Drosophila melanogaster: one gene and its partners. The protein of the gene in region 4 interacts with the protein of the main gene of each other region in a pairwise test. Each region holds a gene or a part of one and is shown on either strand. Other genes may lie near its edges.

What was found.
Region 1: the proteins of Lim1 (region 4) and CG13144 interact in a two-hybrid assay, tested with the Drosophila melanogaster proteins (one large-scale study listed by BioGRID).
Region 2: the proteins of Lim1 (region 4) and Dyb interact in a two-hybrid assay, tested with the Drosophila melanogaster proteins (one large-scale study listed by BioGRID).
Region 3: the proteins of Lim1 (region 4) and disco interact in a two-hybrid assay, tested with the Drosophila melanogaster proteins (one large-scale study listed by BioGRID).

The regions. Positions count from the first base shown.
Region 1 is NT_033779.5:10,489,378-10,493,065, forward strand, and holds CG13144 (uncharacterized protein), read right to left. Parts: upstream 2,078-3,688; 5' UTR 1,988-2,077; coding exon 1,112-1,987; 3' UTR 523-1,111; downstream 1-522. Other genes in the region: CG6144 (uncharacterized protein), read left to right, coding at 1-331; Myo31DF (myosin 31DF), read right to left, coding at 2,954-3,122, 3,180-3,337, 3,412-3,688.
Region 2 is NT_033778.4:12,435,510-12,440,373, reverse strand, and holds the start of Dyb (dystrobrevin), read right to left. Parts: upstream 3,030-4,864; 5' UTR 2,985-3,029; coding exon of another isoform or gene 2,965-2,984; 5' UTR 2,484-2,964; intron 1-2,483. Other genes in the region: Tmem18 (transmembrane protein 18), read right to left, coding at 3,527-3,655, 3,712-3,860, 3,936-4,053, 4,118-4,177.
Region 3 is NC_004354.4:16,210,722-16,218,570, forward strand, and holds the start of disco (disconnected), read right to left. Parts: upstream 6,030-7,849; 5' UTR 5,530-6,029; intron 2,624-5,529; 5' UTR 2,558-2,623; coding exon 851-2,557; 3' UTR 1-850. UniProt on the Drosophila melanogaster protein: Required for the establishment of stable connections between the larval optic nerves, the Bolwig's nerves, and their target cells in the brain during embryonic development.
Region 4 is NC_004354.4:8,802,789-8,807,746, forward strand, and holds the start of Lim1 (LIM homeobox 1), read right to left. Parts: upstream 3,017-4,958; 5' UTR 2,219-3,016; coding exon 2,176-2,218; intron 1-2,175.

The DNA of each region.
Region 1 (3,688 bases), on a different chromosome or scaffold from region 4:
TTCCACGGGTGCTCATACCGTGCTGGAGTTTGTCAAGCGTGAGGACACCACAACTGAAACAGAAGCTGGAGATCAGACGACCCGTGAAGTGCTCTTCAAGCTGCTGCTGGAACCGCGCAGCCTGCTCATCCTCAAGGACACGCTGTACACCGACTATCTGCACGCCATCTCCGAGACTAGCGAGGATGTGCTCTGCGATCGCATCTCCAACTACGATCTGTGCGAGAATACCTACAAGATCGGGGATCACTTAGTACGCCGATCGCCGCGCATCTCCCTCACCATCCGTAATGTGCCCAAGACCAGCAAGATGAAGCTCAAGTTCTGCTAGGTTCATTCCGCCATTCGATGTTCTTTGGCATTAAAGATTACAGATTACACAGATGTTGACTAGCTGCACGTTAAACGAACCCACTGAAGAGATCCCTGGGATCCAAAAAGAACTATGATAATCTGCAACCTGAATCTTCCGCTAGATGTTAAAGCACTCCGCACTAGCAGCACACTTGTTCGCAAGCAAATCCATGTTGGCCCACACAAAAGTGCTTTATTTATACCGCTAGCATTGTGTACATATATATAAATGTTTGTATTACGTATTACGGAGCAATAAGTTGTCCTGATCGGCGGACAGGCTCGAGCTGTATCCTCAGATTCCACCTGACCGCCGGCGGCCTTTAGATTTAGTTGTGCGAGCAGTTGTTGCAGGAATCCATGGCCTAGATTTGTGAAATATGTGGTTAACTTTGTATATGGGCATGTGCGACAACTGATTTTGATTATGATTGTCCTAATGCTTTGTACAATAGAATCTACACAGAATTTATGTAAAATCTTTCTGATTGAAAATGTTCCTTACGTTAACTACTAAGCAAATCAATTGCAGCCAAAGAAATCATAATGATGATCAGTTGACGAGATACCCCTTATATGTATGTTGAATGGAGCAGCCAGCACACTGGTTACCATAGTCGTGTGCTCCATGCTCCGGCCTCCTGTGTCCAAGTGTATTTTTGTAACCGTTTTTTCCACCGCGCACCGCAAAAAAGAGCGAAGAATTGCCAATAAACGTTATTGTCCACCTAACTCATCCTTTAAACCATTTAATCCACTAGGCCTCCTCATCCAGCCACTCCAGCCGGAACTCGCGCTCAAAGACCAGGCGATCGTACAGCCGCACCTCGCTAATCCTCGCCGAGATGTCCAGCCGCAGTTCGCTGACCGCCAGGTGGAAATTCTGACGCACCGTTCGCTGTTTGTCCGGTGTCAATTGATTGAGAGGTTTGCGAAAGATGCTGATGATGCGCTGCAGATGGTATTCCACGCTGGCACAGCGACCGATGCAAACCCACAAGTTCTCCGGATCGTGAATGTTACCCGGGAAGCGGGTGCGTTGATCGAAGGGCGCCTTGCCGGACAGCAGAGCTCTCACCTCGGCCACGATCTCCTGGTGCGTCCTCAGATCGCGTGTGCTGAGGGTGGTGAACTCATACTTGTCGCAAAAGTACATGAGCTCGGAGATGGCCACCCACGACTGGGAGCAGAGTGTGGCATGGTGATTCGACCAGTTGGTGTAGCCAGCTGGACTGGAGGTCTTGGTAGCCACGGCAGCGGTTGACGAGGAACTTGCATTGGGAGTCGGTGAAGTGCTCGTTGGACTGCCTGTCTTGGGCTTGGGCGTATCCGAACCATTTATGATGGACCTTCTTTCTGTGCGCTGCAGCTGCTCCATTTCCCGCTCGTGCTCCTTGGCCCTTAAATAGGCCTCCTTCTTCTGCTGCAACTCCTGAAGCTTGGTCATCTTTGGTGGCGACAACGACTTTGTGAAGATCGAGGGCGGTGGCGGCGCAGGAGCAGCCTGGTCGCCGTCTGTGTGTGCAATTGGTGTGCCGTTTGTGTCCAGCGATGCACTGCGTCCGTACTTGGCCCTATAGCGCTCCAGCGTGTCCAGCGAGAAGCTGAGCTCCTTCTTGATGGCCTTCTGCATGGTTCTGGTTTTCTGGCTTTATGTAATCACCTTGGGTGCTTCGATGCTCCGAATTGCACGCGTTCCCTTCGAGAATTTACAGGCGAATGCGAGCGCACATTCCGCATAAAGAGAGGCCGATCTCTTTATTTTTATCTTTTATCAATCGGCGGCGAGCCATGTGCACTTTATTTCGGTCTCTGCCAATACATTTTGATCGCATTCGCATACGAATGCGTACGGATTTTACGTTTGGATTTAAAGCAGCATTTGAAAAAGATTCACAGATGCAGAAACTCACAGATATTCAAATGCCGAACGCACATTTTGGGGGAATTCATGACGAAATGACCGAAATTTTGAATGGGTTCAATTCAGATCAAGGTTGGGATAGGGAACTTATGCACATTATGCTTATGTTTGGTAAGTTAACTTCTCTTTAACTTATTGATATAAAAAAATAGTCATTAACCAGCTTTCTCAAGTACAAAGTTTACATCTTTTATTTCATATATTATTTCAATAATATTTGCAAATGGCACACATATGTTTGTGATCTTTCGCTTTAAGTACAAACATTTTACTGATCGTTACAAATGGTTTCTTGTGTGCTGTGAATCATATTTGAAGAAATGCACAAAGTACATTTAATACTTTTCGTTCTTTTCGTCGGCCAGCTCAACCGGCGGAGGTGGTATTCCTCTCACATGGATGTTAAATAAATATCGCCTTAACGCATACGCATAATAGAAAAATGTACAAAATTACAATCATGTCGTCACACACAGAACAGATAAACAGATAGGACTAACTATAGAATGACGTATTAAAAACTACAAAGCGGGTGTTTGGCGGAAGGCACGGTATACACAGAGTCGTCATGTCCTTGGTGGGACACATGGGTCACAAGTAGAAAAGAGGGTGATGAGCCCAGTCTTAAAACTAGGTTCCATAATTTACAATACAGTTGGGCGGAGTTGATTCCGCCTAAACGCAGTACGCCGCCGGCACCTCGAAAATGATGTTGCCCTCTTTAGGACGGAAGTTGGGGACCTCCACATTGGACGCCGCCTCCACGGTAATAATGCGTGCCTTGCCGTCTAGGCGACAGGAAATATTGGTGGTCACATTCACACGCAACTCGGTTCCAGTGAGGCTGGAAAGGATTTGATATTAATATCTGGTGAACATACTAAATGGGCGTTCCACTTACTCATGGTATTTCTTGCACACAATGCCCACCACTTCGCCAATGCGATCTTCCTTGAGGGGCGTGTACTCGCTCTCCAGGGAAAACACTAAATCCTTGTTTTTCGACGAGTGGAAGACGATTAGTTGATCCCGGCCGGGTGAGACACTAATGGACGTCAACTGTAAGCGAAGTCAAGATACGGAATTAATATTATAATATAATAATATAATATATTATTATACTATCTACTAACCTCCCTAATTTTAATGGTGCGTTTCATGTCCTTAAATTTATTCTTGATACCGTCCAGTTTGTGGATGGTCGAATCGGAAACGATGAAGGCGCGATTAGCCTGCTTGTTGAAATGGTTGAACTTCTTGACGAATGAGGAGAAGAGCACTTGCTGGAAGGTCTCGCCGTCGGCGGGGTGGTTCCTTATGTTCTTTATGCTTCCGTTGTAGGCTTCATATCCGCTGTTCTCCTGCGAGTTGGCCAGATAATCACCCACCCAGCGGCGCGCTTGACCCCAA
Region 2 (4,864 bases), on a different chromosome or scaffold from region 4:
GAGGTCGGCGCCGCTAAATGCGATTACAGCATAAACGATTAATTTTATTGCAGTTAGCCGAGCCGGGACGCTTGTTCCATAAACTAATTAAAGCCCAGTGGAAAGTGGACAGTGGATACATTCGCCGCTGACTTCAAAGAAAGGGTTAATTGTGCGCCTTGTGCGGAATTGGTCCCCCTTTTTCATTCCGCTCTCTTGGTTTTCCATTCTTCCTTTGTCTTTTCCGCAGACAACTGGGCAGTTTTCTTCGTTTTCTTTGTTTTCTAGGCCGAAATTACTCCGTGGCTAGATTTGGTGGGCACCACGTTCTCGTTCTGCTCCTCGACGCTACTATGGCCATTGTTGTGGCGGCTGTCATGTTGTGGGTGGCCGCACTCAGCTCTGTTTGTTTGTTTGTTTTTTTCTTTTTTTTTCCATGCTGCTCTGCGTGTTTGTCGCTTTGCTCTTTTTTCCCCTCTGCCTTCTTTTTCGTGTCACGCCTCATTTAGCTTTTCACAACATTTCCAAATTTCCACCCACCCGGTCGACACGTCGCATCGCAGCGCACGTAGTGTCGGAAATATCTGGGGATGTGGAGCAGTGGTGCCTAGTCCTCTGCACTCTCGGCTCTTAGCAGCACACATCAAAATTAACCGAAATAACCAGTGGGATGCGTGTATGCAGCTCTGTATCTGTGAACTAGATCGAGTCGCTTCGTCTTCAGATTGGAATGCCCCTCGTAATGAGCCACAATATGTTCGAGTTAATTGCATCGGATCGAAGTTGCCGCGGGGGAAATATCAACAGGCAGGCAATAGAGTCACGGTAGGCTAGGCAATTTTCCATATATAACGAATATTTGATCGTAATGGATATAAATGGATATAATAATGAGTTAAAGAAAGGCACCCCTGTGCGCAAGCTTTTGAGAATAGCTACCACTTAACAATTTCTTAGCTTACAATACAAGCCAGTAGTTAACTCAACTTGAATGCCATATTTTTCTGGAGTGATTCTATTTATGTAGGGGTATATGTAGCAACCACTTGCACTACACTTCAACACCTGATTTATGCATTTAATCGTAAAATTTAAAGATCGTCATAATGCCAATGAGTCGTAAAAACCAGCCAATTAAAGCCACTTAAATTTGGCAAATGGCAAGCGCACTTTTCCAAATGCATGGCTTTGATTTAATACCTGTGATAAAAGCAATGCGCTTAATGTTGGATCGTGGGATTATCTAGTGATTGTTCCGATTGCAGATAGTATTCGTGTATAGATGAGGGGCTCGAAAGTGAAACTCGCTGATATCGCAAGAGCATTCGATCCATTTTACTTGCCGACTTGTAGGTGGTTCGGAATGCCGCTTGGCATTCGGGTTTGAGCTTCGTTTTGAACTTCGGCTTGGCGCACCTGCCACGAGTGTTCCCCCTCTCATTCTCGCTCCCACTCCCGCACTCGCTCGCAGCCCCCTCCCTGGTGGACTCTCTCCTTCGCACCTTCGCGCGCTTGTTGGTGGGCCGGGCGAGCAGCCGCCGTTTTTCAAATGCTAAAATTGGCGATTAGTCAAAATGATGTCACCGAGTTATTTTGATTGTTTTTTTTCTTTCATTATTTCTATGTATTTATTTCGCTTGACTTTGGCATTTTGGCGACACGCTGACCATAAATTCCGTATTATTGTTTTTCCTGCTATTCGATATCACCGATTGCCAAAGGTGGGCTAAGATACAAAATGCTCTAATCTAAACACCAAGTTGCAGTGTGTGTGTGTGTGACTTTTCATTCGCACGACGCTTAATTATTCGCTGAGCTAATCATTTCACCGACTGCCATATGGCGGTATGTGATCTAATCTCAATGAGCAAAAGGTCTAGTTATTAAGGCATGCGGCTCAGTTTGATATGGAATTTTTCAACTATGCGAACTTGGATGTCAACCAGACGCAATAGTTAAGGAAATTCATTAAAACTTCAAACATTTCAGTTCCTTAAACTTATCTTGTATGAAGTATTATAGAGGAGATATCAATATACCCGTTAAGCTTTTTAATATAATTTACACAATTTCATAATTTCGTGAACGAGCGAACATGGGGCGTGGCGTGAACCACTAGACTTTCCAACGGAATGCAAATAGTTTAACTATGGTTTCCCACATAGCAAAAACAACCAAATCCGAACTTTCCTCCTAGCTGCCCGCAAACATATTTAGTTGTAAACTAAATTCCAGGCGCAACCACAAACAGGCTTGGTTCAAAGTGTGGAGGGGAGGGGGGAGTGTTTTGGGAGTGGGCGCAGGGGGGCAGACACTTTTTATGAATGAACACTGTGCGCTGCGTCGCCAACGCGTCACTCATCCGAGTTTTCCTATCGCGGAAATCTACTACGCATTTCAGTGGGTAAGTGAGGGGGGTGGAAGGGCAATCTTAGCAACATTTTATTGGTATTGTTTATGCCCGGGAATTTGGTAATATAATCCGCACATTATTTGTTGTTTACCTTTTGTAATTAGCAACCTTTTTTAATACGTCACTTTTTGTTGGGCTGCGCGGAGTTGCTGCTTCTTCTTGCTGCTCTTTCTCCTCCTTCTCCTGTTTCTCTGCACTTATCGCGTTTTATTTTCACCTGCTGTTTACACACAATAAACGATGAACGGTAAACGGAGTTGCCAAACTCGCGTTAGCGAACGAGAGAGCAAGATGCAGCGCCGAGATAGAGAGCGAAGATGCTGCGCCCTTTTGGCCTTTGGTAAAAAATATGGTAACAGAAAAACTTCTTTTTTTCGGGCTACGCTTATGGGCTCAAAACACATACACACCGACGGCAAAAACGCACACACACAAGCGAGCTCGCAGGAATTTTGAGCCTGGCTTTAAACCGCAATGCTATGCAAAACTTTTTTCTGGCTTGCCAACGGTAAATACGCAGCGCGATTTGCGATTAGCTCCGTGCGAATATCTTATCAACGGATTTTGTTTACCCAAAAACCACTTCCAACATTGCGCCGCGACACTGCTTCGACACCCACAAGCCAGCAACAACAAAATCGTTGGACAGTGTTACCAGACGACGAAGGGCTCCCAATTGAATTCGTACTAAAAAATGACACAGGTCCAACGAGCTTCTAATTTGAAATTACAGTCTTGGCACACAGATCAGAAATTGATACAGGCAATAAGCTGATTGGATCTATAATGTTAATTTCGTCAAAAATATCAAAATAGTTCATATTACGTGATATATATAGAAAATTTTAGGTGGCAGTAAAAACTGCTTTACCAAGGTGGCAACGGTAACTGGTGTGATTTTTTGCTTAATATGAAGGGCATGTTAGGTTTGTAACTTCGCTAAGTAAAACAGGATGTAAAAATAGCCTAAATTTACAAATTCTATAAGTTTGATTATACTAAATTAAATTTATTTTAAAGACGAGAGCTGTGCAGCAAACTACATCTAGATGACAGGAAAATCCATTTAAAGCATAACATATAATTTCACAGCTCTACTTGTGCTTTTAACTGCATGTAATACAGGCGTAAGTTCTACTCTGCCTTTTTATGTGCTATGGATTCCGAATCCGCCTTAGTCTGGCGTTCCTTGCGAGCTCGCTCCTTGAGCTGCGCTGTTTTTAGAGTCACCATCAGCTGCGTGGAGTTGTAGAGCCAAGTGCCCTGCAAATAAGCAAAGATAAATACACACTTCATGCAGTGGAAACACTATAACTTACAATCAAAAGCATGCAATTAAGCAAAATAGGTATTGAGAAAACTGTCGAGATAAACAGGCCGTTGCTATCGAAGTATTGTTGTCTGGAAAAGGAACTCCAGTTGTTAGCAGCGAACTCATTGATGCTTTCGGTGAAGTAGACTGCCAGCACTGAGGAAGATGAAGCACATGCAAAAATCAGAGTCATTTATCGGGTAAGTCAAGGAAGCCGCCAAGTCCACGTACACAGTACTAGGAAGAGGAAAACCTGGAAGTTGGAGCTGTTCCGGCTGAGCAGCGCAGTGGTGGTGGTTAAGATATGCGCCAAAATAAGGCCAATAAGCCAGGGATCCTTCCAATCGATCTGCAAAAATAGTGACAACTTGCCGGATTCTTGATTTTTGATTGTATATAGGCGAGTATCTTACGCTCAGCAGAAATGTCCAATAGCCATTGATCTCGTTGACCTCAATTTGCCCTGGGTGCATCGTACAGATTTTTGTGAATATAAATGTTTCCTGTATATATTTTGCGATATATTCGAAAGCCGAGTCAAAACAAACATAAATAGCCATTCGCAGCGAACAGCTGTCATTTTTCATGGCAACGCCATTTTGGGAGGCCTATAGACGTTCAGGCTTCCTCAATTTTGACTGGATCTGGTAGCGCTGTTTGTAAGACCTAACTTACTATTTTATGGGCTAAATATAACAACATAAATCAAAATACTATTATTTCGTTTAGTATGTATTACTCACCATATAAATGCAATTACAAATTTTGTGCCACCTCATTCTCACCCACCCCGACTTGTCGTGCAGAGTCGCCCTGCCCGTCATTCAGTCTGAACGTGTCGATAACGCTTTCACTGACTCAGTAGACAACATTAACAAATCCGAAAAATATCACAAAGAATTCGTTTTAAAACAGTCAAAATTGTAGTTTTTAGGGCGAATCAAATCTATTCGGGTTATTAAGTCGAACGGGCGACGTGTGAGCAAGCAATCGAAGCTAAAGCCGAGCAGGGTAATCCGAAAAAAGGGGCGCCTTAGATGTGGCACGGGCCACCGACCCTACCGTGCACCACACTCGTCTAGGACTCTGTTCTAAAGCGCTTGTGGCGGGAGTTTCTGGCCAGGATCGGGCAGGGATCGAGGCGCACTCGAGACCCGTTG
Region 3 (7,849 bases), 7.4 Mb from region 4:
ACGATCTATCAACCTTTGCGATGGATTTTTATAATTTTGTTTTTTTTTTTTTGGGTTTATTTTTTTTCTTTAGGGATTGGTTGAATTGAATCTCTTCTGGTTTTTTATTTTTTTAACACACGGGGGGGATATGTTTCAATAGAATTTGCTTGCTGTGTTAGTACATCCAAGTTATACAATACAATATAGTTTTATTGGCTACGAAAAAAATTGTCTTAAAACTATTTAATATATGCCATTCATAATATATATTTCGTTATAAATATCAATACTTCGTTGTACACCGATAGAGGGGGCAGGGAAACGGAACCCGTTCCAAAATCCCCGCTTCTGCACTGCCCAGCCCGCTTTTCAGATGACAGACTTTAATTTTTTTTTTTTTTTGGATCCGATCCTGGGATCCCACACACACACACACACACACTCTCATTCATGCATCTGCACATTCACACTGAGGAACGGATTGAATACTATACACTTAGATGTCGCACTACAGTATACATTATACATTATACATAGGTTTCCAAAAAAAAAAAAAATCCATATAACACATGTACGAGCAGAAAAAGCTTAGTTTCGGAGCAATTCCAGTTTTCAGAGGGGGGGGTGGGGTACTTAGTGGCATTGGTTGCGGGTGTTGCGGGGTCGCGCCTGAGGAGGAGTGCCAGCCATTTAATGGTCAAGCTGTGGCACAGCCCCACCACCTGAAGCTCCACCTTTTTGTGTAATGCAGCACGCCACCAAATGTATTCTTCTTAAAATACGATTCACACACAAAAAAAAAATATAAAAACAAATTTGACTAAGGAAATCATCTAGAAATCATCGCCATGGATCAGCAGTCTGGACATTAGACGGAAATCGGCGCATTCGTGGCCGCCGGCGATTGCTGTTGCGGCTGCTGTTGGTGGTGCTGATGGTGATGATGGTGGTGGTGACCCATGTGGTGATGACCCAGATGATGGTGCTGCTCCTGATGGTGGTGGCTCAGGGTCAGATGATGATGCTGCTCCTGCTGGTGTTGCTGCTGCAGCTGGTGATGGTGGTTGTATTGCTGGTGCTGTGTCTTCAGCAGCATGGAGCGGTACATTTCGGAGAGGAGACTCCACATGGGCGGCGAGTCCTTGGCCAGATCCACGGGTGATCCCGCCGGCAGGAAGGCGGTGGGCGGTGCCTGGCTGGTGGCAGCGGCAGCCGCTGCGGCGGCAAACATCTGGGTCTGCAGCAGGCGCAGATGATGATGCTCCTCGAGGTCCAGAACGGGCAGTGGGAGCATTTGCCGCCGGCTGGTCATGTAGGCACTGTCGCTATCCGGGTCCAGATCCATTTTGATGCTCGTCTGTGGTGGATTGGCGCTAGCGCTGGCGGAGGAACTAGAGGCGGAGGAGGCGGCTGCCGTGGAACAGGCGGAGCTGGAGGCGGTGCTGTCGTGACGCTTACGCTTGCCCAGCAACTGATCCATGGAGAAGGCATCGCTGGGCGAGCGCTTCTCACGCTCCAGCTCATGCTCCTGTTCGGGTTCGTGCTCCTTGTCGGATTCCACATCCTGTTCCTGCTCCTTTTCCGCCTCCCGCTCCCGTTCCTGCTCCTGCTCCTGCTCCTGTTCCCGATCCTGCTCCGACTTGCGACGCTTGTGAAGGCTGAAATCCAATGGCTGGTCAGCTGCCCGCTCCTCATCGGCGGCAATGCTACTACTGCTGGCCAGGCTCAAGCTGCAGTGCATCTCCTCATCCTGCTCATTATCCCGTTCGTGTTCCTCCTGATCCTCGCTGGAGGCCGCCGGACTAGAGCTATTGGCCTGCATGTCCACGTACACAAAGTCGTTGTCATCTTCGGGATCAGCATCCTGTTCATTGTCCACCGATCCAGAATCGGGATCCTGACAGCCGGTGGAAAGCAGGCCCAAGCCATGTAGACCCGCCTGTCCGCCGAACATGACGTACGGATGGTGACCATGATGCGGCGGCGGCGGTGGCAGAAGTCCGGGAAAGGCAACCGGAAGTCGTCCGGCGACAGCGGCCGCTGCTGCGGCTGTTCCGGGCGAGAAAACCGGAAACTGCTGGGCAGTGCGGCCATCGTGCGGCGAGATCTTGCGCCGGATGTGTGGCGAATGGAGTTTGGGATTCGGATTGGCGCTATGGCGATTCCTCGAACGCCTCGAACTGAACACCATATTGCAGCCCTCCACCGTGCACTTGTGCATCTCGCGAAGATGCACGGCCGAAAAGTGAATCTTAAGGGCGCCCTTGTCGCAGAAGGTCTTGAAGCAAATGGAGCACTGTACTCGTTTCTTTCCCGTGGCTGGATTGATAAACTGACCGGCCAGATTGATGGGCGGTGAGCCCCAGCGACGAGGCTTTAAGGATGAACCTGATCCAGTGCCCGATCCCGCTGCCGATCCCGATCCAGAGCCACTGGATCCGCCGGGTGAGCTGGCCGGAGAGGCGGCATTTGGCTGCGGGTGTGACGGTAGATGGGAGTGCACATGCTGGTGGGAATGTGGGCCATGGCCCAGCAGATAAGCCGGTGACATGAACGGATTCATTATGTGCTCCATGTCGTCTGTGGTGGATTTTGTTTCTATGGTCGCGCTGGCGATGGCGATGGCGATGACTGGTGGTGCCTGGAAAACAAACAAGAAACAGAAACGAATCGTTAGGAGTGTCAATCAGGGAGTGTCAATCAGGAAGTCAGTGAATCGGTCAGTCCTAATCGAAAACTATTGCCAGGGTTGCGGGGCAAATCCGATTGCGCAACTACAACTGGGAAACTGGAATCAACCTTATCGCCGAGAGTCAGCAGGGCAAATTGTTGAATGGTCTGTGGTGCCGGGGACATGGACATTGACTCCTGGACCTGGGACATTGGGCAGTGGTCATTGATGCGCAATTAGAGTGCGAAAAGTCAAGACGGTCGAATAAGTCAAGGGGAGAAAACTTTATTTTGGGGGGGGGTCTCAATTAATCAGTGGATTACAGCGATTAGTTGGTCATTGCTGTAAGATACATTCTGAAATCCAGATTTAAAAGAAAGTCTTTAAGGCTGCCAGCTGTGTGCTTCAAAAAAAAAAAAACCCCATTGCTGTTCAAATGGCTTTTTCATTAATTAATATTCGATATCCTTAAGATATAGATTAATATCTGAGGCGAATGTATATGTACATATGACTGCATTGCCACGCCAAAAGCACTAATCTATAGCATTGGAAAGCGCTCTAAAGTCATATCTCAAGTGTATTACCGAAATTCCCAAGTGAAAGCTTCCAAGGAGCTTAGCCAACTTTGTGCAAATCCAGCTAGATTTATTGGTAAGACACACACTGCTTACAATAACTCAGACAAGCGAACATTTATATCGGCGACACCGATGGCGGCATATCTTTCATGTCGAGCCGATAGTACAGTAGAACAACTAGAGTTGCCATGTTTTGTATTTTGAAATAATCAAAAGGGGTATCCCAGTGACTGACGCTACATCATTTGTTTAATCTTTATCATTTTGGTTCCTATGCACCCAATTTCTGTCGTAGCCAAGGCCCACTGTACACTAACACTGGCGCATTACTTGTGTAAGTGCACATTGCCTCATTTACTCGAGCGAAATCTTTTACAGCTTTTTCGGTTCTTCTGGCCATTAAAATCGCCTCTGACAACGTCGACGGCGACGACAACATGCGGCGATCAGTGTCGGACTTCGACTTTGGATCCGATCGGTCGGAGTTAAAGCCAAAACCAAAACCAAAAGCAAAGCTAAAGCCAGAGCTAGCTCATTTTTTTTATTGTGGACTCCGTTCGCTACCGTAATTGTGAGCAGTCGACTTGACGTTAAAAACAGAAACAAATCAGGGGTAAAAAAAAAAAAAAAGAAGTGAACCGAACCCAGGGGCGTCACAAAACTGGGGACAATTGCGGTGAGATGCGGATGACGATGGTGATGATCGTGTGTGCGATGTCGTGGCTGGCTATCTGGATTCGATCTCAAAAGTCGAACACACATTCGCATTCGCTTGCCCAATGCCAGCTAAAAAGTTAAGCCGAAAACCACATACGACTATGGCTCACACATACAGGCATACAGGTAACACGCACACAGTTGCAGGAAGCCAGGAGATGGTCGCTTTTTATGGGGCTCATTAGTAACGATGACAACAATAGCATTAAAATGAGTGTATGTACACACGGCGAAAATGCGAAAGCGCAAGAAAAAAAAAAGAAGAGCAAAAAGGGGGGAAAAAAAACTTAATTGTCAGGTACTTGGAAGTAATCAGTTTCTGACTAGGTGCCGAAAATATTGTTACCATTCAAGAAATAGAGAATGACCCAAAGATGTTGCAATAATTTTCTAGATCATTATAAGTTAACTATATCATATGAGTTGAAGGTGCCTATACCTTTTTATCTTCCAAGAATCTTTTAAAAAAGAGATTCAACTCAAAAAAAAATATAGATCTTTTAACATTTCAATATAAAACAATTCAAGATCTAAGCATCATAACAATCTTGCATAGCACAATAAGGCGCAACGGAAAACAATAACAACCTCTCTATTTTCTCTCAGTGCACGCGGTCGACAGATCGAGGTGAGTATGCATGTACATGGGTAATTATTTTTGTCAAACGCTTAAAATGTCTTAAGCCACCGATGGTGAAAGGGGGGGTGATGTTGGGCAGCTGGGGGTAGGGGAAAAACCAATCACAACTTTTGATGGCTCTCGGACGAAACGTTTTTTGATTATCGGCAGTGGCAAAGGCAGCAAAATGTTGAAAGTACCCAAGACAAGAAACGACAAGATTGAAGAATTCCGAGAGTTGGGAGACGCTTTAGATGGTAGATGGTAGATCCAAGATCTGTGGAGTACGGTGTGTGGCAGTTGGGGATGGAAGATGCCGAGATGTGAGCAATCCGGCGGCTATAATTGCTGTTGTAGTTGCTGTTAATAGTAGTACATTATAATAAGCAGGAGTCGATGGGCACAAGGGGCATGCAAGGGGCATGCGATGGTCCAAAGATGACAACGCCGATGGTCCGGACATCAACGAGAAAAACAGAGCTCGAAAACCGCAGACAAAAATCTTAATTACAACTTTGACATTTGGCGTTTCCCCCGAAGACATCACTTTTTTGTCGTCGAAGCTCACGCAGCAAATAGACAAAAATGGGTTTACGAACATTGGATTAACAAGCTGTTTTCAATTTAGCAAAGTCAGGATATTATAAGAAAATCCATAGACTAGAGGTAAAAGATGGCAGCACATCACCAGAGATCCCATGAAAATGGTAATACCATATTAATGCCACTAGCAGCCTATGTGATCCTAACAAGATCATTATTTACCACGAAAAGAATCCTATTGTTGCGTTCCTATTTCATAACACAATTCTTGAATGGGTAATATTTTTATGGCACCAGGATTTCTTTTTAGAAAATACTCCTCTGATCTCGAAAAATATTCACTATGACTTCACTTGAATTTGAATTCTTTGCTTGAAGTGCCGACGGCAAATCAACTTTACTCGAACTATACATACCTTTTGCTAATTTAGCAGCGAGTTGTAGATATTTTATTGTATTTTGGTTTATTGCTGTTTTTTTTTTTTGTTTTAGATTTTCTCACTTTGTCACAGGTTTGAGATTTAAAAAAAGGGTTTCTTTCGCTTTGTTTTGTTTTGATATTTTGTTGCGTAAAAAGTTGATAAATTCAGATGGTAGAATTCACTGTTGGAGCTGTGTGCTGTTGTTGTTTTCATGCCCGTGGTGCATTTATTTTTGTTGCATTTTGCTGAGATATTAAAAAAGTTGGTCGTTCACAGTTGACGATGACACACACACACACACACACACGCTCGTATGCACGCACACTTATGCACTGGGTCGCGCGGCAGAGAGAAGAGTGGACTGGACGCGAATATGCGGATGCGAATATGTGAATATGCGGAGTGGCAAACGAAGTAGCGACGAAGATGCGGATGTGCGGAGAGCAGGGACAGCAGAGATCCACTTCTTCGAATGTCGTGGGTGACACTGATTGTCGATTTGTCGTTTCACCAACGAATTTGTGCGGCGACTGCGACGCCGGCAGCGCAGCGGGCAGAGAGCGAGCGACAAATGCGGCGACACCGACACCGACACACCGACTGACTGACACAAACACACACGCACACGCGGGGTGGGTGACATTTGGCTCTCTCTCGCTCGCTCTCCCGCTCGCTCTTGCGCCCTCTCTCTTTCACTCTTTCGCTCTTGCACCTGGAAGAGTGTGAGAGAGCGCGCTATTGGAATTGGCCTTCGTCACATTGTCGTCGATGGGTCATTAGGCACTCGCCCGAGTGCGAGCGAGAGATCCGCCCGCACTTGAGTCCATCCCGCTCGCCCAGTCGGCAAAGCAGTGCGAGGCAAGAGTAGCCACCACTCTCTTACTCACGCCGCGAAAGAGCGCCGTCCCGTGCGTGCGAGCGGCTTGGCACGCTCGTGCGGCTATCTCGCGCCCGCTCGCACACTGTCGTCTGAGTGGACGAAACCGTTTCGTTGGGTTGACACATGCGACATGCGACGTGTGTGTGTGTGGTCAGTGCGGCACACACATTCACACGCACTGCCGCCAGCCAAAGAGAACGCAGCGCTCGCTCTCGCCGCTTGCTGGTATGGGTGCCTTGGGTTCGATGGTGTGAGTACATGGCCGGGCACTATAGTGTGACAGAGCGAGAGAGAGGGAGCCGGAGCACAAGAGCGCAAGAGGGAGAGAGCAACGAGAGTGAAATGGCAATGGCCACAGTATACAGTACACAGTACGTAATTTGTCGCTGCTGCGACGTCACTTTTTGTCTTGGGCTTCTCCTCTCTGCTTCTCTTCACGAAGGTTCTTTTGAAATTTTTGTCATTTGATGTCTTGTCCACTCGGTGCTGTGCCCTCTCGCCGTCCCTATCGCACCCGCACGAATGGCCGCGTTGAGCGGCTCTCTTTGTTTTGCGATTGCGCTGTGCATCTGTATGGGTGTGTGTGTGGGTGCGAATGTCGCTGTATAGGTGTATCTGTGTATGGGTGACACTTTGGCAATGGGGGCGATTCGCTTCGATTTTTTTTCCCTGTCGCCACACAGCACCAATGGAATTCGAGCACTGGTGACAAAGAAGCGACGCTGCTGCTTCCTCTTTCCACCCCACACCCCTACCGCAGTCCCTCAACGATCCTATCACCATGACCGCCCCCACCACCACTATATATGTATGTACATATGTATGCATGTATAACTTATGTAAATTGCACAGCTTCGGTATGTAAGTGCCTTATGTGATAGCAGCACCTACACACATATACACAGCTCCTTGTCGTTTCATTGTCCTTTTCATTGCCGAATTAAAATAATTCTCACCCACACTCCCACACAGTATATGTATGTATTTGCTAGACGCCGGAATGTCCCACATAAGGATACAAAAGCACACATACATATTTGGCCACATTTGTTCTTCAATTTATCCACACAAGTGTCCGAGAAAAGTTCTTAAAGCGAAAAAAAACCGTACGGAACAAATCCTATTTGCATTAATCACCATAAAAAAATATAACAATAAGGACCGCATTATTATGTTGCATACCCACAAGGCGTTAGCATCAATGTTGGACTTCCAGGAAATGGTCAGGACTTAATAAAAAGCACTCTCTTAACATTCAATATCTTTAAGTATTACATATCATACCATACGTTTAAATGGTATATAAGGTTCTAACTAAAATTCATTCAAGTAAGTTTACTTACTACTTATAAACCAAACCCAAATCAGTTTCTTGTTAACCTAAAGCTTTAAGCTTTAAGGCTTCTCAAATACAATGCATCACTCATTCAATTA
Region 4 (4,958 bases):
AGCAGCAACATAAAAATTGAAAAGATGCTGCCACCAAGATATATGCGAAGAAAAATGAGCAGTCGACCAGAGAAATGGCCGATGATATTGGTAATTGAACGACGAGGGGTTACCCTATTCTATTGAAGTTTTGAAAACTAAATTCCTTAAGAATAAACACATTACCAAAGATTCAACGACCTAAATTGGTATCCTATCTTAAGTATTTCCAATACATTTTTTCCATCTCATTTCAAAACCTTAACTATACCATAAAAAATTGGATATCTTTCCTGATTCCAAATTACTTTACGAACTTTCGAAAAAAGATACAGCTACTGCGCGGAAAAGTTATCTTCATTAAGCCGAGTTATATTCAGTGGTACTTTACTTTGTAGTTTTCCCCAACTAAATGCAAGTTAAGTTCATAACTGCCAACACTTAGTCATTAGCTAATGGGTATGTCTATGAGCGAGAAATAAAACAAAAACAAAAAAATCCAACCGAGAAACAGTAGAAGCAGGAAGAAGAAAGCTTGGCAGCTTTACGACTCCACTTGGCATCAGTCCGCCGTCGTAAGGTGGCCCACTGTGCGGGTCTACGGCTTCCTGAACATCCATTTTCCAGTCAAATGTCGACAGCTTTTGACTTGAACCGCCCCCGGAGCTGCAGGCCCCAAGCCCAAAAACCCCAACAGTTCTCTAGCCAATTTATGGGGGAAGTAAGGTGTCGGCCGCTGTATGTCCAATGTCAACAAGTTAAATGGAGAATTTGCAGTTGCAATTTCCATCGAACCTCACTGGTTCGAAAACGAAGCTATTGAGGATTTTAGAATATTTTTGAAAAATTTTTTGTGGTATAAAATACCTTACTACATTTTTACTAATATGTACTTAAATCATTTCTCATTTCATTTCTTTTGATAAGAATCCAAAATATACTCGAAAAGAGTGTTCGGTCTCTAAATCTCTGCAGATCCTTAATTTTGTAGTTTATAAATGTTTTTTATAGTTATTCAAATTGATGGGGAGCTACATACATACATATAAACGAAATATTCCTCACCAACTAATCACAAAATACAAAACTAGAGGGGAGCCTTCATTTCTGAACTTTTTGCTCCCTTTTTACTATTTTTTTTTTTTTTTTTTTTTTTTGTTCCTGACATTAAACAGTCAGCAAAAGTGAAAATTTGACAGAGAGCAAATGAAATAAAACAAAAGCCAAAAAAAATGAGATGGGGTAGAGGAAGAACGGCAGAAGAAGAAGCTGAAAAACTTTGACAACTGCGCAAAAGTTTTTCAGTCCAAAAACGAACGGGAAAACAAGAGGAGGAAAAACAAAACCGAAACAAAAACAGATGAACAAGAACTTCAAAAGCATACAAAATGGTAATGCGAAAAAGAGACGGCAGATGGACGACGGGGCATTAGACGCCCCTCTCCTCCTCGCCGGCGGTCCCCTAAAAACGGGAAGCAAGTTCAAAAGTGCAAAAACTTTGCTGCTGCCCAGCCGTCGCCATTAAAAACTCCTTGGCCATCTTAACCCATTGCGGGCAAGCGGTATTGTATTAACCCACCATCCTAGGGATCGCATTTCGCCGATCCTTCAAGGGGTTGACTTCCTTTTAAGGACTTTCGACCGCACTCGACCCTACTTTTCTTATGTCTTTCTACCACCAGTTGAAAATCTAAGACCACATCCCGTCGGCATAGCGATCAAGCCATTTTTAATAGATTCCACTTTTTTGTCAGTACATTTTTCGAAAATTCACTTCTTTGCCATCTTTTAAAAGTATTTTTGAAATGTGTCATTGGTGTCATTGATCACTCGTCTACAGATTTTATAAACAATTTAAATATTATACGAAGCCTACAAACAGGTGTTTTCATTCTATTTCGATAGAGGACATCATGAATATTACTTAATCTAGATTAGATGTAAACAACTTCTATTTTCGATCTGTAAAATGTTTCATCCTTGACTTCCCAATGATATTATTCTATAGAACTACAAGCACAACTCAAAGATTTAGTGCTGATTCTTGGATGAAATGATTTCGATTGCAGTATCCTATATGTGACTAACCTTAAGAACTTGCCTGTTTGGGATTCTCACTGCAAACCCCCCAGATTTTCTATGTTTTCCTGGACCCTTAACCGCTTAATGCCTAAATTCCCCAAAACGATCACTTACCGATATTGTGCTGGCTGGTGTGTAGTACCGCCCCGAACGCCATCAGATGGTCCTTGGGCGGGGGGGCGCGGCTACCGAGGGCGGCGAACCCGTCGCCCAGATATGACGCCAGTGCGACGGCCCTCAGGGGCGCTTTTGAGGCCTCGGTGAGAATTTTGTTGTCGAATATCTTGATGCCGGGGGGATGGAGTTTTTCTTTTTTTCGGGGGGGTTAAGAGTGACTGCTTTTTTGGGGGGGCCGTCAATGGGTTAAGTCCCGCGTGTGTGTGCGTATGTGAACGAGGCGCGCGTGGGTGTGGATATATGTGTGTGTGTGCGGGTGCGGAAGCGAGAGAGAGAGGGAGAGAAAGATAGGAGCGGGCCCCAACTGCACACTTAACGGTTAACGCACATAAAGACTGGGTGGCAAGGTGCGAGCAAGAGGGGGATAGCACGTGTGTGCCGGCGGCAAATTTGGCAAAACAAAAACAAAGCGCGAAATTCCGCTCCTCTTTGAGTTGAAGAAACTTCCTCCGCTTCTATTATGCCTTATATTCCAGTATTTCTTTAGTTGTTGTATATGAAATTGATTCTTTTCTTTTTAAACACTTTGCACTATCGGCTTTTCGGCGATTCCTTGGTTTTGTTGTATTTATGTGTTGTATATTCTTCTTGTTGTTCAAGATTCTCACTTGCAAAAAAATTTGAACAACGGCAAAAATTCTCGGTTTTCGATCTCGCGGCGGAACGGTAAACAGCTGACTAACGGTAAACGGCTGCGTTGGCTCCTTTTTCGAGCGTTGCCTCGTGCGCTTTGCGTTTTGCGGGCGCTTCACGCGAACGTCAAACAAAAACTGAAAACGGAAAACGGCAAACGCGACGGCAAAGCGGACGGCCCGATTACCGATAGCTGCCAGCCGAGCGCACACGCACACACACGAACGGCGAGCCGAAGCGGCGACGAATGGCGCGCCTGGGTGCGAGCGAGATGCTAGCAGGCGCATCGCTCGCACTCGTGCTACCGAATGCGGCAAGCAGTGCTCGCATATTTCGCCTGCGCCAGAGCGAGATGCAGCGAATGTTGAGCTGGGGCTGCTGCGACGCCGACTGCGCTGCTGGCGGCGCTGCAATGGAGTCGCAGGCTCTCTCGCTCTCGCTTCCGTCGCTTCTCCTGGCTCTCTCGTGTTGGGCATGAAGAAATCATATTATTCTTAAATAAAAAAATTGTTTTTCAAAACGTTTTCTAAAAAAATGGAAAAAATATGACTAGAATATTTGGTATGCATATCTAGATTATTATTAAAAATATTTTGGAAAAGGATATACAATTTCATAACAATTGGAAAAAAATATCAAGAAATCTTAATTTTTTTTCCTTTTTTAGGATTTAATTTAGGTGATTGTTCGATAATACACAATATAAGTTCTTTGAAAATTTTGATATATTTAGCATGATAACTAAATATTTAGTTAGCCTTACTAGATGCTTGTTAGATTCATAAGATTTTAAAAATCCAAAAATTCACTTTTTTTTTAAATTCTACACACATTCTTCTGTTGATCTTGGGCTTTTGATCCTTTTCTCAAGATTGGTGCTGGCGTTGTTCCTGTAAGGATATTTTTGGTTTTTGTTGCTGTTGTTGCCCTTCCATTTTGCCCATTGTTGTTGCAACACTGGCTCTCCTGCTCTCCAGCTCTCTTTTTTGCGGTTAGAGGGGGCGTTGCTAAGCAACTGGTTTTTTTATTGTTGCTTCATTGAGAGATGCGCAAAATGGCGCTCTCTCGCTCTCACGCTCTCCGGCCGTCGCGCCCTCTCGCTCACACTCGCTGGCCGGGCCAATGGCATTTTTCAAAGTGACATTTGCCCGCGTTTTGTCCCTTTCGCACTTGGCGGTGCTTGTGTGCGTGCCAAGGTAAAATGTCAAATGCTTTTCGACTGTCAACTGTTGGTCGCAAAAACTTTTTTCTTTCCTTCTTTTTTATTTTTAGTTGTTGTTTTTGTTCGGCTGCCTCTTCTGCAACTTGTGTTTGTCACTTGTCGTTAGCAGTGCGAAAGGGAGAGCACTAGTGGCGGGGGGTGGTGGGGGCGTTAGCTGGAGAGGGACGCCCCTTTGGCGTTTTAACGCACTGGAGACAGCAAGAAAAAAAAACGGAGGCGAAGAAAAAAAAGCAAAGAAAAAGTGTTAGATAAATTGCAAGTAACAAAAAATTAGTAGAAAAAAACATTTAAAATTGTGCAAAATATTATATCTTTTTCTTTTTCTTTAACAAATGCAATTTTAATAAGCTTTCGATTTAGATAAATCTATAGCAAGACACTTATCGTAAAAATAAACCAATACAAAAACCAATAAAAACCATAAGAAATAATATAGGATTCAAATTGCAAAAATGCCAAAGATCTAAACAAACAACAAGAAAAGACAAAACTGGATAAAATAAAAAAAATGCATAAAATAAGTGAGAGTAAAAGAGAACGCATTATAAAGGTCGGGGAGGAGGCTCCCGCTCTCATTCACTCCTTACGGTCTTCCCTCTCACTCACACTTCGATAGGAAGAAGAAGATGTTCGACACAAAATAAGGGGGCTGTGGTGGGTTAAAGAGCGCCGTTTGCTGTGTGCGTGGATGTGGGGTAGTCAAAAATATTGCACATTAGGGTGTTAAGCTGTGAAGTGCTTGCTTTTTGTTTTTGCGTGTGCGTGTCACTTTTCACTTGTTCTGCGCTATCGAAAAGTTATCGAAATCAGTTGATCTTTGACGGCCTTGAAAACTGCTTTGCCCCAAATTTAGTAAGAGCAAAAG